Linked DNA regions of Macaca mulatta. The protein of the gene in region 1 purifies or fractionates together with the protein of each later gene. This does not show direct contact. Links are inferred from orthologs where the notes say so. Each region holds a gene or a part of one and is shown on either strand. Other genes may lie near its edges.

Region 1 (3,560 bases):
AAGCCTTCTTCTATGCGGTTTAGTTGTTCTAAGAATAAGTTGTAAAGTTACATTTTGTGTTCCATTCACAGTGTCAACCAGAAAATGCTATTATTATGGAGCAGTCAACTTCAACCTTGAATCTACCAATAACTCCCCACAGTGAATAAGTCAGTGTCAAAAGGTATTAGAAGCTATTCAACATGATAACAATCTTTCACGTACTGATCCTGAGGCACCTAGCCTCTTGCTGTGGAAAAATTTGTTCTAAGAAGTTTGTATATGGCTGGGTATGGTGGCTCATGCCTGTGATCCCAGCACTTTGGGAGGCCGAGGTGGGCGGATCACCTGAGGTCAGGAGTTCAAGACCAGCCTGGTCAACATGATGAAACCCCATCTCTACTAAAAATACAAAAATTAGCTGGGTGTGATGATGGGTGCCTGTAATCCCAGCTACCTGGGAGGCTGAGGCAGGAGAATCACTTGAACCTGGCAGCTGGAGGTTGCAGTGAGATGCAATTGCACCACTGAACTCCAGCCTAGATGACAGAGTGGGATTCCCCTCAAAATAAAATAAAATAAAATAAAAATAAAAAATAAAAGAATCTTGTATAGTAGGACCAAGGGATGGTTATTTAGAGATCATCCTTACAACCAAGTTAAGGGTACTCTGACCAGGTCAAATCCCCATCATTTCTATGAGGTTCAAAACCTGAGGGCTGTTATAGGAGTAATAAAAACTAGACCTGATTAATCAGGGCCAACTCAAGTGCTTCCAAGCACACCTGAATCTAGATCTGTTTTAGGACTTAACTTGATTTGAGGATGATGTAAGAATATCACAATGTCTGCCCAGACATGGTGGCTCATGCTTATAATCCCAGCACTTCGGGAGGCCAAGGTGGACGGATCACTTGAGGTCAAGACTTTGAGATCAACCTGGCCAACACAGTGAAACCTGTCTCTACTGAAAATACAAAAAATTAGCTGGGTGTGGTGGTGGGTACCTGTAATCCCAGCTACATTACTATCATAATGTCTAATGTGTTAGCCATGCTGGTCTAACACATACTCGGTATATACACAGTTGGGCATTGTTGCCTGCCATCCCAAATAGACAGTGAACATGACATTATTCAAACCAGAAGACAAGAAGTAAACATATTATTCTTACTTTACAAAGGGAAGGCCCTCCCAAAGGCTGAAATTTGTATGTGGCTAATCTGATAGGGCTTTTTGGCATCATGGTCAAATTAAGAATTTCTGCTAATAATTTAACTCACCCCCTTGTTCATCCAGCATAGTGATGGTCTTGATTCCTGCATCCTGAGACTAAAAGAAGTGGGAAAAAGGCTGATAGTAAAACAAAACAAACCAAAAACAACAGAAACAAAACCTACAAGAGCTGTCAAATAGCAAGACAGAATAATTTAGAAACCCAAGCTCTCAGAGGATTAGAGCTACAGACAGAACTAGTATTCTTAAACACACTTTAACATAGTAGCCCCCCAAAATAATTAAGTCACAAACTCATAGTGAATTCATCTTCCCTGTCATATTCCAATACTGTCAAAGGGAAAAACAAAAAAGGCCCATTAGTGCATAATTTGACAATTTCAGCAACTGTTAATTTCAAATAATAAAGCATATTGATACATTACCCTTTAACACTAATTCCAGCCAGAAGTATTAGGATATCTCCTATAAATTTTTATACTTAAGTTGGTGACTAACATTTTCTTACCTCAATGGCTAAACCCAGGATTCTCCTCGTACTTTCCAGAGACTAGGAAAAAACACAGAGTTTTAGCATTCCAAAATATGTAAAAAACAAAACAAAACAAAACAAAAAAACCATCCGATCACAGGCCACATTCATGATGCTATTCTATCTTTAAAAATGGCCAGCTCAGGCTGGGCACAGTGGCTCATGCCTACAATCCCAGCACTTTGGGAGGCTGAGGCAGGGGGATTTCTTGAGTACCAGAGTCCAAGACCAGCCCAGGCAACATAGCCCAACGGAGAGACTGTCTCCATTAAAGGAAAAAACAAAAAGAATTGCCAGCCTATCCCTTCCTTTAAAACAATGGGCCGGGCGCGGTGGCTCAAGCCTGTAATCCCAGCACTTTGGGAGGCCGAGACGGGTGGATCACGAGGTCAGGAGATCGAGACCATCCTGGTGAACACAGTGAAACCCCGTCTCTACTAAAACTACAAAAAACTAGCCGGGCGAGGTGGCGGGCGCCTGTAGTCCCAGCTACTCGGGAGGCTGAGGCAGGAGAATGGCGTGAACCCGGGAGGCGGAGCTTGCAGTGAGCTGAGATCAGGCCACTGCACTCCAGCCTGGGCGACAGAAGCGAGACTCCGTCTCAAAAACAAACAAACAAACAAAAAAAACCAAAACAAAACAATGGCCGGGTGTGGTGGCTCATGCCTATAATCCCAGCACTTTGGGAGGCTGAGGTGGGTGGATCACGAGGTCAGGAGTTCGAGACCAGTATGCCCAACATGGTGAAACCCCGTCTCTACTAAAACTACAAAAATTAGCTGGGCGTGGTGGCACATGCCTGTAATCCCAGCTACCCAGGAAGCTGAGGCAGGAGAATCGCTTGATGAACACAGGAGGCAGAGGATGCAGTGAGCCGAAATCACATCACTGCACTGCAGCCTGGGCAATAGAGTGAGACTCTGTCTCAAAAAAAAAAAAAAAAAAGTAAGTTGATCACTACATTTTCGGTTATTTTCAAGTGCTCCTTAAGAGAAAATGTGTAAGGACTTCCAGTGTGATGTTGAAAGGAAAAGTTTTTTTAAAAAAGAGAGAATATTTGGATGGTGAAGTTCATGGGAATAAAAATTTTATAGTCATAAAAATTTAATGTAGGTAGAAATCTAAGTAAATTACAGATATTAGGAAATTGTTAAATAGAAGTCTAGCATTTCTCAAATACATAATAGAGTATCTTTGTTGCACTTAAGTAATAAGTACCTAAAAAATAAAAATCATACAAATTGTTTTCACTTTAAGAAAATAAAAACCAGCAAAGGCACTAAGGGGCAAATGTGTTCTTTGATATTAATGGACTAGGAAGAGGCCAAAATGGTCCCTAAGAAGGCCCTCTCACCCCTCCAATATGAAAACTGAAATAGAATTATTTACTTATTTTAGGTAAAACATTTACCTCATCAGTAATCTGGTGAGCTCTCAGTTGAATTTCTTCTGATGACAGATTATCCATGATGAATCAAAACTCTATTAGGCACAGAAATGGAAATGTGGATATTGTATAAGAATAAGGATATATAAAAGTTTGTGTGAGCAAAAAGTGTAGATTTATGGAATTTAGGAACTTATCAGGAAAACAGGATAAAAGAGCCTCTTTCTATATCTATTAGTCTACCACAAGTAAAGAAATCAAGACCGAGAGAGGCTAAATGAATGTTTAGTAAGAGTGCTAAGGGTGAACCTAAAATACAGGTTTTAGGACTTCTAGGGAAGTACTCTTTCCAACAGGAAAGTGGATCCTTTACTTTGAGAACCAAGGCATTACTGGAAGACAAGCGTTAAAAGACTATTATATTAA
Region 2 (4,229 bases), on another chromosome or scaffold:
AGTGACAGCTTTTAGGAATGTGGAAATACTAGTCTGAATTTCTCAATCTTTTGCTGTGGTTCTCCACATACAGTGCAGAACAAAAGATGAAGGTCCTCTAGCTCAAGAATTCTACAAATAGAGATTTGCTGGGCTAATGGAGTTTGACAGTATCTACTTTGTGTGAGTCAGTGGACAGCCATTAGAGATGAATTCTACAGAGAGGCTTGCTCAGGCTGGATAACTAGTAAGTGGACAAAGCATTTTGATAAAAAATCTGATCAGAAGAACTGGTCTTGGCTTGAGCAATCTAAAGACCTAATCCTAACATTGTATTATCCTATTTTATAAAGTGGTTCTTGGGGAATACACTCAGGGAGTGGTGTTCATGTTTTAAGCATATGATTTTTTATTTTTCCTGAGCTAAATGTTATGAGCAGGTATGTGATTCTACCACAGGAAAACAAGCATGAAACCTAGAAAGTCTGACTTTTGCTTAGATCTTCCAGCACAGCAGGGAGCAAAGTTTTGTTACAATTATGATACAGTCAGAATTTGCTTTACATTCACACTTTCATGATACTTTTTCTAAACAGATTTCCAGAGTGCTCATACTTGTTTAAAATTCATATTTCCAACATTTCAGAGCAATACCTCATCTACTTGATTTTGTGTCTGCTGAAGTCTTCGATTACTGCCAGGGGCAGCAGTTGGACCTGTAGACCTGGAACATGTAAAGGCAGGAGCATGAGTAAATTATGATTCCAAATACATTTTCTTAAGTATAAAGAAGTTACTCCGGGACTCTCACTGTTAACAATTTCTTACATTAGAACTAAAGCAGAAAAAGAAATTCTTCCTGAAGCAATGAACAAAAGTTTTAATTACATTTCTTCTAATTTCTCTATAATTTCCAAGACTGTCCCACCTACTAAAGGGACAAACGTGAAGGTTTAATAGGACCTACTTTGTATCCCTGAAGTATCTGATCCCACGACAGGTAAACTCTACTGTCCTTTTTTGAAACTTGTTCTAAGGCACACATCTGCTTGAACGTACTCAGTACTCTCCTGATCTTTTCATTGTGGCAGGAACTGTTTTCATAGTTATAAACAGTTATAGAATGCCCTTTTTCCAATATAGAAAAATAGATTAATTTACAGAAACAGAGTCAGGAACACTGGGATGCAGGGAGCGGTTGGTGTGAGTGGAAAGGTGTGTTGAAGCAATGCTTCCCCTTTTAGGAAGGTACTCTTTTTTTTTTTTTTTTCCTCTTTTGAGAGACGGAGTTTCCCTCCTGTTGCCCAGGCTGGAGTGCAATGGTGTGATCTCGGCTCACTGCAACCTCCGCTTCCTGGGTTCAAGCAATTCTCTTGCCTCAGTCTCCCAAGTAGCTGGGATTACAGGCATGCACCACCACGCCCGGCTAATTTTGTATTTTTAGTAGAGACGGGGTTTCACCATGTTGGTCAAGCTGGTCTTGAACTCCTGACCTCAGGTGATCCATCTGCCTCGGCCTCCCAAAGTGCTGGGATTACAGGCATGAGCCAGCGCGCCCGCCCCGGGAAGGTACTCATCTTTTAAAATCTTCATCAAAGGCTTTATTTCTCCTCATGCAGATCCTTCTTAACCACTCTGACTCTGAAGTCATTATTGGCTCCATTACTTGGAAAGTATCACTTTGGTTTTTCAGGTATAAAGTCCTGCCTCCTCGAATAGATTACAGGTTCCTGGGTCTTCTTACTCTCTTCTCTGTATCCTAGATAGCACCTAGCATGTACCTTAGTATACAACAGTCTGATGGACTGTTTGAACAGTCACTTTACATCTGTCATGTGTCAATGACCAGGGCTACAACAGATCTCATCGCCGTCCTCACAGAGTTTAGTGTCTGGTAGATAAGTAAGGACCATGCCGTGGTGCTAGACTCTTTTCATGCATTTTCTCCTTCAACTCTCATAACTCTCTGAGGGGAATATTACTCCCATTTTACAGATGAGTAAAGTGAGGTTTAAAAAGTCAACACAGCTGGCTGCCGTTCAGATTGTTTTTAGATCAGGTCCTGTGTACCTGGGATCTAGATCTTAACCACTGTGATCTATTGACACAGCAGCCTCAGCAGGAACATTCGAGGGGGGGTCCCCAACTCCTGGAAGAAACCCGGGGCTTCCTCCGACGGTGAGCAATGAACAGAATGGAGGTGGAAGAGAGGGTCCTTGTGATTCTTAACCATGAACATTCTCTGAGCGTTACCACTGGAAGCACCGGTTTGCAAGGGCCACAAGAGCGCTTTCGCTTAAGAGTGCGAAGGCCCACGGTTAAGTGATCTTTCCAGTGCAGATGCCCCTAGCCAGGCAAGGAGCTCTTGGGCCCACAGTGGCTCAGCACAGGGCCGAGGTCCTTTCTTTTGCAACTTCCGGGGCCCAACTGGGCCGAGAGCCGGCCCTCCCGAACCAGGGCAGTCGTCCCCGTTCCTCTCCGGGACCTCTGGGACTAGAACGGGAAGGGGCGAGGAGCGGGGTGCGGGCGGGCAACTCACTTCCTCCGGGAAGCGCCTCGCCGCCCCGCCCTCGCCCCTTCCGCGTCCGCCCCATGGCAGCGGAACCCGCCCGGCCCGTCTGCAGCCCGCGCCCCAAGGGCTACCGCCCACCCCCAGGCCTCGGGATCCCCGCGCAGCCCCGGCCTGCGTCCGAGCGGCGGCCGGCGGCAACTGGGCGGTACGGCGATCCCAGCGCGAGCTGCCGCCTGCGGGGCCCGAAGCCGCCCGCGTCGCGCAGCGTCACTCACATTTTGGCAGCGGCGGCGGCGGCGGCGGCGAGCGAGGGTCAGCAGAGCAGCGAAGTAGGGACCGGAGGCCAAGGAGATGGGCGGAACGGCGCGACTCCGGGCAAAGACGTCACTAGGCAGGGCCGGCGGGAGTGGGCGGGGCGCAGAGGGGGCGCGCCGGAAGTGGGCGGGGGCGTCGTGGGCGGGCGCGTCGTGGCGGGCTCGTCCAGGGCGGGGTCAGAGCGAGATGTCCACTCCCTGGACTAGGTCACTTGGGAACTTGAGGGCCACAGGGGTCCCAGGGCGGTCCGGGCTCTGAAACGCAGAGTGCAGGTCAATACAGCTTCCTCTCTGCACCGCGGCCCGCGCTGGCGCTTGGGGACGTGGTCTGCAAACGTGGCGCATTAGGCACTGGCTGGGGACTGTGTGGATAAGTGAGGGTGGGCGCAACTCATGTTATTCTGGGCTCGGGACCATTTCTCTCTAACAGTATTAGAGACAGATGATTGGCTTCTGCTGAATGTTCCAGATTAACCTAGTGATCCCGAGGGCACCATGTTTCTCTGAGAAAGTAGTTGAAATAGGAAGTCCATTTCAGGTATTTGTCACATGGGGTTGGGTTAGGTTCCCGCTCATGTTTTCCTCGGTAACACAAATATTTGTCCCTGCAGATCATATTATAATCTGCTTACGAGAGCCTTAGCATCAAGACTGTAGTTCCTTCATTTCTGTATTTTTAGGCCCTAACACAGAATAGGTCCTCAGGTTTTGGTCGAAGGGAGGGAAGCACAAATCTGAACGCAGTGAGTTACCTTGTATATATTTGTCACTGAAATATTCCTACCAACACAGTTACCGACATCAAAAAATAAAACACTATAGGTGTTTGGTCATTGGTGGGTCTCTTAAATGAGAAGTGAAAAATACAGTACTTAAATACTATGCTGTTTTTTCCAACTCTAAATAGAATACTTCGAAAAGGGAAACATTCGTATATATTCGAATAAACGAGACTGTCACAAAGGCGGTGGGATTTGAGCTGGGTACTAGCAGAAAAGAACTTTCCAGTAAGGGTTGGACAAACACCATGAACAAAGACAGCAGTGAAAATGGACGCAGTGTGCACAGACCACCTACAGGGTGCAGGTTGGGTACAAGTGAAAAGAAGACTGAATAAAGAGGGTAAACAAGAAAAATGTCATTTGATTGTAGTGGGCCCTGGAAACCATTGACTCACGGACTTGGGAGATCCGTGCTGCACAATTTCTCTGGCAGTAGCGGCCAGATGGATCAGATGGAAGAGGGAGCACTAGGGAGATAAGGAGAGGCTCTGCAGTGAAAGGGAATGGAGCAGCGATGACACAATACTCAGAAAGGAGGACGTTCGTCATCGCTGGAAAATGCCTTTTAGAAGACTTTCAGAGGATTGTAACTGAAAAGGTGAATTAAATTAGTGTCTATCTTTCAAATAACTGCACTGCCTT
Region 3 (4,106 bases), on another chromosome or scaffold:
TTGGGAGGGCAGATCCTGGGACTGAGGGATGCAGGCTCCAGGTGGGCACATCTCCCAGCTACAGGACTCCTTGCCCCATCGGGACTGCTGAGGCTGGAGGAGGGACCAGGACAGTACAGAGGGTTGGAAGTAAGGGAACTCCTCCTCCTCCATGCACTCTTCCCCATGCCCAGCAATTCGAGTTATAGACACTAAATTTCCTAGTGCTTGTCCAGGCATGGTGACTCAAGTCTGTAATCCCAGCACTTTGAGAGGCCAAGGTGGGTGGATCACCTGAGGTCAGGAGTTCGAGACCAGCCTGGCCAACATGGCAAAACTTCGTCTCTACTGAAAATACAAAAATTAGCCAGGTGTGGTGGTGCACACTGTAATCCCAGCTACTCAGGAGGCTGAGGCAAGAGAATCATTTGAACCCAGGAGGCGAAGGTTGAAGTGAGCCGAGATTGCACCACTCTAGCCTGGGCAACAGAGTGAGGCTCTATTAAAAAAAAAAAAAAAATTCCCGGGGCCATGCTCCCCAAATTAAGCTACAATTAAGCTACAGAAACAGGCAATGAGCCCCAGGGAGACAAGGGAGCAATACCCAAGAGCCAAGAGTTCACACAGGACTAAGAAAGCCAGAGCCAGCTTCCCAGCTGGACACAAAACCTGAGGCTCCAGACTTTGCTCAACTTTGGAGTTACTTCCTCCCTGAAACAGCTGGCCGCAGCCCCTGGCTGGAGAGAGAGAAGAATGAAGTCTAGCAAGATGTGTGGGAGATATTATTTTAGCCTTCATCTAGCAGGGGACCCTGGGATCAAAGCATTTCTCTGCTCTTTCCTCCTTCTTTTTAAAGCCAACTCAGCAAGATGCCAGCAATTTCCCACCCCTTGTCTAATAGCTCCTAGAGAAGGCTAGAGGCCACGGTGGGGGGGTTTCCTCAAAGCCAATACTTCTGCCCTGGGAAGGTCAGATCCAAATGATTGTCATGGGCAGGCTTCAAAGGGAAAACAAGTTTCCCGGGAGAGAAGCCTGAGAATGCATGGGCTGACTGAGCTATCAGTCTCAGAATATGCCTCTATGGGTGAGCTGCCACCTCAAGCCCCAGTCATGGGATCCATTCCCTGGGATCCATAACAATCTGTGGAGCAGAGCAGATTCAGAAGTGGAGACTCAGCTCACATCAGCTCCCAAACCAGGTGAAAGGCAACAGAAATGTTACACTTCTGACCCTCCTGTTCATTTTGCCCCACCAAAAAGAAATTCCCTCCCTTCCTCTTTTCCTCCAGCCTCCAGTGGGCTCCCTGTCTCACTGTGGCTTCCAGATCCTCTGTCTTGTTGCGGAGATGTTCCAAGTTTTCCCCTCGGGCCAGGATCCGCTCCACATTCTGGGTCATAATATTCTTAACTCCCTCCACCTCACTCTGCAGGTTCCGCACGCGATCATTTCCTCCACCTTCACTGGCTTCCTCCTGCACAGCAACACGGGGTTAATTAGACCAAGTGGTGGGGGAACTGGAGACTTGGCCTCAGAGGCCTGGGGAGGGTAAGGCCTCAGGCAGACTTCAGCTTTTTGTAAAATGCTTGAAATGTTTACAAAGAGAATGTTTTCATGTATTACTTGTGTAATCAAAAATAAATGCATTTGTAAGCCTCAGAAGGTAAGACGTGATGCTAAAGAGACTAGATCAAACTTCTTTCGGGATTGTTAGGACCCCTGACAAGGAAAAGCAGCGCATCACTAAATCCCTCCCCGCTGCTTCCTTGCTCCCTAGAGAAGGCCGTAGAATACAGCAGAGCCAGCATCTCACAATGTTCCCTTTCCAGGGCAGAGCCCACCACTATTTACAATTCCCGGAGCCACCCCCCTTTCCTGATTTCTCGGGATCCTCATTGAAAGTGTCTGTGCTGGCCAGCAAAACACCCTCACCCAGCCTCACCCATCTGCCCCTCTAAATACCTGCTGGAGCATGGCCCTGGCCGCAATGCCATTGCTGCTGTGACCCAGAACAACAGGCAACCAAGTACCCCAGAAGGCGCCCACAGCCGTTGAGCCACACACTTCTGCTTTCCCTACCACTGGGCACCACGCGCAGGCACCAAGCAACCACCTGCTTATGCAGACATTAAATAAAAATACCCGCCTGGGTGTTGGGGGAAATGGAGGACTAGTCCTCCCTGGCTGATGTCTCATCTCAGAGGCTTCATGACAAGGTTTTTGAACAAGGAGAGAAAAATATTATTAAGCTCCTCCCTCCTTGACCTCCAAAAACAGGCCAGTGGCATGGGTCAGAACTAGCTTATCACAGAGAACCAACTTCTGGTTATCTTATAAACCCTTAGTTCTCTTCTTCATGTTAATGGAGAAAGGACACCCAAAGGACTCAGTGGACACACAAATCCTTTGTGTTTCTGTGTAGGGATAAAGTGAAAGGCCAGAGAGGAGAGCTCCTGCCGCTGGGCTGGAATCTGAACTGGAAACTGCCCAGGCACTGCCTGGTGGTGTCACAACACCCGCCTCGGGCTCCCTGGAGGAGGAAGGCACAACAACACTTTGCCTGGAATTCGGAGCCCCCATTGGCACTGGCACGGAAGCCCAGCTCCCCACCAGCACAGAGGTCAGGGGAGGGAGGAAGAAGGAATAGAAACACCTGCTAGGACGGTTCAGAGCTATTTGCAGCCAAGTTGTCAAAGAGGAGAGGCCACAGGCAGCACTGGCCCAGCCCTCTAACTTTGCCGCCAACTCTCCTCCCCCCACACAGCCAACCCCCAGTCCCGAGCCCCTTCTGGCTCCTCTTTAAATCAGCCCTTTCCTAGTTTCCAGTTCGCTCACCATGTCTCAGAGCAGCCCAGGCCGATCAGCAGGTGAATTCGCCTAGTCGGCTTCCTCCCAGGGTGGCCGTCAGCTCACTTCCTGCTTGCTCCAGCTTTCAGCCTGCCCCCGCCCACCTCGCATCTCGAGTCGCTCCAGCCACACCTAACTCAGGTTTCCCCAGGTAGGCGGGCACTCTTCACTGTCCACCCAGTGGCTTCCCAAACAAGAGCTTAAGCTTAGAGTAATAGGGCTCTCAGATGTTAAAGGTCTTCTAACTTTTCAGGAATTAGAAAAGAAAGATCAAGCAGCCCTCCAAGGTTTCCTGAGGCTGGACCTCCTGATCTAAAAAGGGCAGCCATCTCTCTCTCTCTCTTTTTTTTTTTTTTTTAAATAGAGATGAGGTCTCACCATGTTGCCCAGGCTGGTCTCAAACTCCTGGGCTCAGACAATCCTTCCACCTCAACCTCCCAAAGTCCTAGGAGCCATGACGCCCCACCAGCCATCTCCTTTTAATGTCTTGAATATCTGACTCCAGTTTCTAGAGACAGAGATCAACCATGCCAGGCCTGGCTCACAGGGAAACAAAATGCAGTTATGAAAATTTCTTGCTGGATAACACTTGTTCTCAGGTCCCTCAGTGACAGAAAGCACTAAAACCCCTGAAGTCTGGAATACTGTGATCCTGGGCTCTGATTCAGAAAGCTCTGGGTTACTAGTTACAGGCCCCTGAGTGAACCTTTTCACCTCTGTGGAGTTTGCAGGTGCTGATGCTTAGCTCAGACAGTGCTGGTAAGAAGCAAAAAGAGGCTGGGCATGGTAGCTCACGCCTGTAATCCCAGTACTTTGGGAGGCCAAGGCAGGCAGATCACTTGAGGTCAGGAGTTCGAGACCAGCCTGGCCAACATGGCAAAACCCCGTCTCTACTAAAAATACAAAATAATTAGCCAGGCATGGTGGCAGGTGCCTGTAATCCCAGCTACTCAGGAGGCTGAGGCGGGAGAATCGCTTGAACCTGGGAGACAGAGATTGCAGTGAGCTAAGACTATGCCATTGCACTCCAGCCTGGGCAACAAGAGCAAGACTCTGTCTCAAAAAAAAAAAAAAAGATAGCGTGTGCAGTGCACTGCCACTAGCACAGTGTCTGTAATGAGGGCTCACCAAACCCCTCCTTCCCTTCCAGAGTTCAGCAATTCTGCATTTCCCTTCAGGGACCACCACAGAGGTAATTGATCCCAGTCAGTGATCAGTGATCAGAAGACTGCCCTGGTATACCAGAGCAGGGGCCCAAGGCAAAGGACTTTTCCACTAACCT
Region 4 (4,226 bases), on another chromosome or scaffold:
CAAGGACTAATGGGGACTAACTCCTCAGTAAAAAAAGAAACACCAGTTGAGAGAAGAGTGATGGAACAAAAAGAAATGGAAAGGGATGGCAGTATGTAATGATACGCTACTTAACATGCTGGACACTCCCAAAGACCTTGGGATTCTTAGGACCAAGTGGGGCCAGTCTCAGAGCCTCCCATTGGATGCAAACAAGATGCACCTAAGGAAGCCTGGACAGATGCTTTTTGTTTTTTGTGGTCTTTTTTGAGGGCGGGGCAGAGGGAGCATGACCGGGAGAGGGAGGAGGAAAGGAAGGCCAGGGTGGGGGGAAGGATCAGCTAAATCTGAGGGAAGAAGAAGGAGAGGAGAGGGACTATTGCATAGCAGATGCAAATGAAGGGACTTGGGGCTAGTCAGGAAGAAAGGGAAAGGGAAGGCAGGCAAGAGAGAGGAGGTGAAGGGAACCTCAGGAAGGGGTGTTAAGGACAACCAGAAAAATCTTCTAGTAATAAAACTACAAACAGACCAAATATATATAATATTATATATGTATAAATAACAGCTGGCTATTTACAGGGGGACACACACACGGACACACACACGCACGGATCCAGGGAAGGGGGGCTGAAAGATATGGCTGAGAGGTGGAGGAACGGCTGAGGGTGGGGGGAGAGGCCCTTCTTTAGGCAGGGCAGACTCCTCAGGGATTTAAGTGCTGAAGTAAACTGTGGAGAGAGGGGAAGAAGATGAGGAAGAGGGAGAGGGGAGAGAGAGAGGGAGAAAGAAAGAAAGCAGTGTGTCAGGCCTGGCCCTGCTCCAATCCTCCCCACTCCCCAGCTGGCTGGCACCCCTACCCCTCTCTTGGACTCAGTTTCTCCATCTACAAAGCAAGGGGTTAGACAGGTAGGTTATGAGGTCCCTTCAGTTCCATGGTATGGCCTTGAGGCCACATACCCTAATCCTCTGAGCCTGAGGCCACAAGCTCTCAAATAATGGGGTGGTTGGCTTCCTGGTCATGTCTCAAGCCCCTGGGCCTTTCCTTTCTCCCACTCCTCAATTCCAGGGCTCTCAGATTGGGCTCTTAGGCCCAAAGGGTCCTCAATGGATACACCAACTTTTATATTTCTAAATGTTAACAAAACTGCCAAGAACCAGGCAAAATGCAGGCTAAATAACATCAAAGTTTTTGGCTCTAGGTGAATCAGAATTGCCATTAGCAGCTATATGTGTTTTTGGCTGAAGAGTAAAAACTAGGTTAATGACCTTCAAAACCCAGAATCCACTGGGGAAACCTCTCCAGGGAAAGGGCCCCGGCCATTCCCAGCCTACTCACCTATGATGATGATGAGGATGATGGCGCAAATCACTCCCAAGATGATCATCATCTGGGGGTGAGAGGAGAGGATCAGCGAGACTAACTATGATACCCCATTCACCTGCCAGTCCTCCTTCCTGTCCCCATCCTTACCTTGAGGTTTTTCCACCAGTATTTGCGCTTGAGCTTGGCTGCACTTGTTTCAAACTGGGAGGCCCCTGCCTGGAGTGCATCTGCACGGTCGTCCAGCTCCGACAGCTTCTGGTCCCGCTCCAGGACCTTGTCCACGTTCACCCTCATGATGTCCACCACCTGGGAGAAGGGCCCACGGGGCAAGGGGGTGTGCCAAGGCCCACCTCATGAGGGCAATCCTCAAACATGTGCCCACCGTGCCACACATGGAACATGCACCCTGATGCTGCCAGGTTAACATGCCAAGGACACACACAGTACATGCCTAGCACACCTGGGGACATGCAAGGAGCACACATCAGGGGATTGCTGGTGACATCTCAGATATCATAGCAACACCCTCCCTCTATGGCGCCTCAGGCGCTCTGTCCATCACCAGAGCACACCTGCCTAGGCTGGCACACCCCAGGCTAGCAAAGCTGATTAACACCCCCAGCACCCTTCCAAGTGCGTGCTGACAGGGAGACACGGATGGGGCAAAGTATCTTTGTCCGCAAACCCACAGGCGTGAACTGTCATCACTCCCAAACCAACATGGGCCCCTACACCTAAACGCCAACCCCCAGGGTCCTTTCTACTGCTTTTGACTCCCCCCACACTCACCTCATCCACCTGGGCCTGGGTCTGCTGCAGTCTCCTGTTACTGGTGAGGTTTGGAGGGGGTGCAGGGGGGCCACCCTCCCCAGCCGGGGCGGCAGGGGGGGCCGTGGCAGCGGTAGCAGACCTGAGGAGCAGGGACGGATTAAGACCCAGGGCCTGCAGTCTCCCGGCCCTGCAGCCAGGGCTCCGCCCATCCACCTGTCCATCCTCGTCCCTCCAGTCCTCCTTTTCGGGAGGAAGGCCACCCGATGGAAGCCCTGGTCCAGGTCCAGCCTCGCCACCGATGAGCTGCGTGACCTTGAGCGAGGCCTCCCCTCCCCCCGGCCTCAGTTTCCCCGCCTGTCAAATGAGGGCGACCTCACAGATGTGATCGGGGTCGACCCGAAAAGACAGGCGGCCGCGGTGACAGGGGCGGGGCGCGGCAGGAGGACACAGGGTCCGCTCCTTCCCGCGGCCATCGCTCGAGCCGGCCAGCCCGAGACGCTGGGCTTCTCGGCCGCCCGCGCGCAGTCACCGGCTTGGGCCTGGCCCCGGGGCGCGGGGAACGCGGGAGAGACCCCGGGCACTCCCCACGGCCGGTTGCCAAGGGCGGCGGCCGGTGCAGGGAAGCGCGGTGAGGGTGGCGGGCGGCCGACTCACATGGCGGGGGCAGCGGGTGGAGGACTTGGCAGCAGCAGTGATGGCGGCGGCGACTCGCGCTGGCTCCGACTGGCGCTGGCTGCCCGGGACGGAAAGATGGCGGCCGCGCGTCACCCGCATCCGGGCACTGCGGGCGGGGGCGGGGCGCCGCGGGCGACGCGTCGGGAGCGGGGCCGCGGGGGCGGGGCGCTGCGGGACTGGGGTCGTGCCGGGCGGGACTGCGGGTCTGGCGCCACCGTGCCCCGGCAGCTCTCTGGGCACTCACGGGACCACCAGGCGGGTTGCTGCGGCTTCCCTAAACCCACCGTCACCCCGCCCTGTCTGAGCACAGCCTTCCACAGCCGCCCCCAAACCTCTTGCCACCTGCCCCTTAGGGCACACAGCAGCCTGGCCCCGCACCTAACCCCCAGACCACTCCCTGAATCGTGAACCCAATAAGCCAGCCTGCATCCCACACAGCCCAAGGTCTCGCCCCGCGCCCAGGTCCCAGCACCTAGCGACCCGCCTTCAGCACTGGGAATGGGCTGGGGTTGGGAAATCAGAGAGGGTCAGTACAGGCGCTGGGGCAATATCGAGAGCGGGGACCCTGCTGCTAGGGTGGAGGGGAGTGGAGGAGGTTGGTCTCAACCCATCACCCCGCTGGTGGATGTCTCAGAGGAAGCCTGCGATCCCAGGCCACTGGGTAGGAGGGTGGGAAGAAAAGATGAGGCAGGCTCTTCCCGCCGAAACAAGTCCAGGGGGTGGAGGACCGGGGAGTGTCTACAGGGTGTGAGGAGGGGGGTGCCCCGCCTCACGATTGAGGTTCAGACCAGGGGTACTTAACAGCTGGAGCAGGCCCGACTGAGGTGGGGTGAGCTGAAGACCCCGAGGAGGAGGGCACAAGGCAGCCGGGGCTGATGGGGGCAGGGGCTGCTTCACGTGGTGGCTGCTGACTGGCCAAGACCTAGCTTTGCCCCAGGCTTGGGTCAGCGACCCCAACTGCAGGAGAGGGCTCAGGCTTTGGTCCCAGGCACAGGGACCAAAAGGCTTTTTTCTCTCTCATTTTTTTTTCTTTAGTAGTAGGCACAGTGGGTACAGTTTACAAGGTGCTGCTTTACATGCGTATTCGCCTCGCAGGTGTGACCTTGGACAGTTGCCCTCCTCTCTCTGGACCCCAAATACATTGCATATGTAGATACTAAATCCATATTCGTTAAATGGCTTGATGTGGATAACATGGAAGATTATCCCTATCTCCATTAGGCCCTCTAAGCACACCCAGAGGCTGTGTACACTCCCACCCAGCTTGTCAGAGAAGATGGGACCAGGGGAGCTGTCGCTCTGGTGGAGTGCAGGGGATCAAAGCAAGCCTCAAGGGTACAGGAGGCATTTTAGGCGAGGCCCTTTGAACCTGGGGTGGGGGTGCTTACTACATCCCTGGAAGGTGCAGGGAGGCTGATGGCCTTGATCTCTGAGACAAACAGGAACCAGCTTCGTCCCTCCCCCACCCTGGCTTCCC

Evidence for each region. Proteins that work in one complex are often made in the same cells at the same time.
Region 2: the proteins of SNAP23 (region 1) and VAMP3 purify together in Homo sapiens (affinity purification with western blotting; 6 studies listed by BioGRID and IntAct, with this or other methods). This does not show direct contact. The link is inferred for Macaca mulatta from reciprocal best matches to the Homo sapiens genes SNAP23 and VAMP3.
Region 3: the proteins of SNAP23 (region 1) and VAMP8 purify together in Homo sapiens (affinity purification with western blotting; 3 studies listed by BioGRID and IntAct, with this or other methods). This does not show direct contact. The link is inferred for Macaca mulatta from reciprocal best matches to the Homo sapiens genes SNAP23 and VAMP8.
Region 4: the proteins of SNAP23 (region 1) and VAMP2 purify together in Homo sapiens (affinity purification with western blotting; 4 studies listed by BioGRID and IntAct, with this or other methods). This does not show direct contact. The link is inferred for Macaca mulatta from reciprocal best matches to the Homo sapiens genes SNAP23 and VAMP2.

The regions. Positions count from the first base shown.
Region 1 is NC_133412.1:19,918,228-19,921,787, reverse strand, and holds part of SNAP23 (synaptosomal-associated protein 23), read right to left. Parts: intron 3,230-3,560; 5' UTR 3,216-3,229; coding exon 3,159-3,215; intron 1,766-3,158; coding exon 1,724-1,765; intron 1,312-1,723; coding exon 1,263-1,311; intron 29-1,262; coding exon 1-28. UniProt on the Homo sapiens protein: Essential component of the high affinity receptor for the general membrane fusion machinery and an important regulator of transport vesicle docking and fusion.
Region 2 is NC_133406.1:233,019,354-233,023,582, forward strand, and holds the start of VAMP3 (vesicle-associated membrane protein 3), read right to left. Parts: upstream 2,832-4,229; 5' UTR 2,769-2,831; coding exon 2,767-2,768; intron 704-2,766; coding exon 634-703; intron 1-633. UniProt on the Homo sapiens protein: SNARE involved in vesicular transport from the late endosomes to the trans-Golgi network.
Region 3 is NC_133418.1:38,814,506-38,818,611, forward strand, and holds the start of VAMP8 (vesicle-associated membrane protein 8), read right to left. Parts: upstream 2,832-4,106; 5' UTR 2,816-2,831; coding exon 2,813-2,815; intron 1,452-2,812; coding exon 1,293-1,451; intron 1-1,292. UniProt on the Homo sapiens protein: SNAREs, soluble N-ethylmaleimide-sensitive factor-attachment protein receptors, are essential proteins for fusion of cellular membranes.
Region 4 is NC_133421.1:9,677,649-9,681,874, forward strand, and holds the start of VAMP2 (vesicle-associated membrane protein 2), read right to left. Parts: upstream 2,832-4,226; 5' UTR 2,731-2,831; coding exon 2,729-2,730; exon of another isoform or gene 2,296-2,728; coding exon of another isoform or gene 2,288-2,295; intron 2,214-2,287; coding exon 2,093-2,213; intron 1,610-2,092; coding exon 1,451-1,609; intron 1,368-1,450; coding exon 1,316-1,367; intron 708-1,315; coding exon 691-707; 3' UTR 1-690. UniProt on the Homo sapiens protein: Involved in the targeting and/or fusion of transport vesicles to their target membrane. Major SNARE protein of synaptic vesicles which mediates fusion of synaptic vesicles to release neurotransmitters.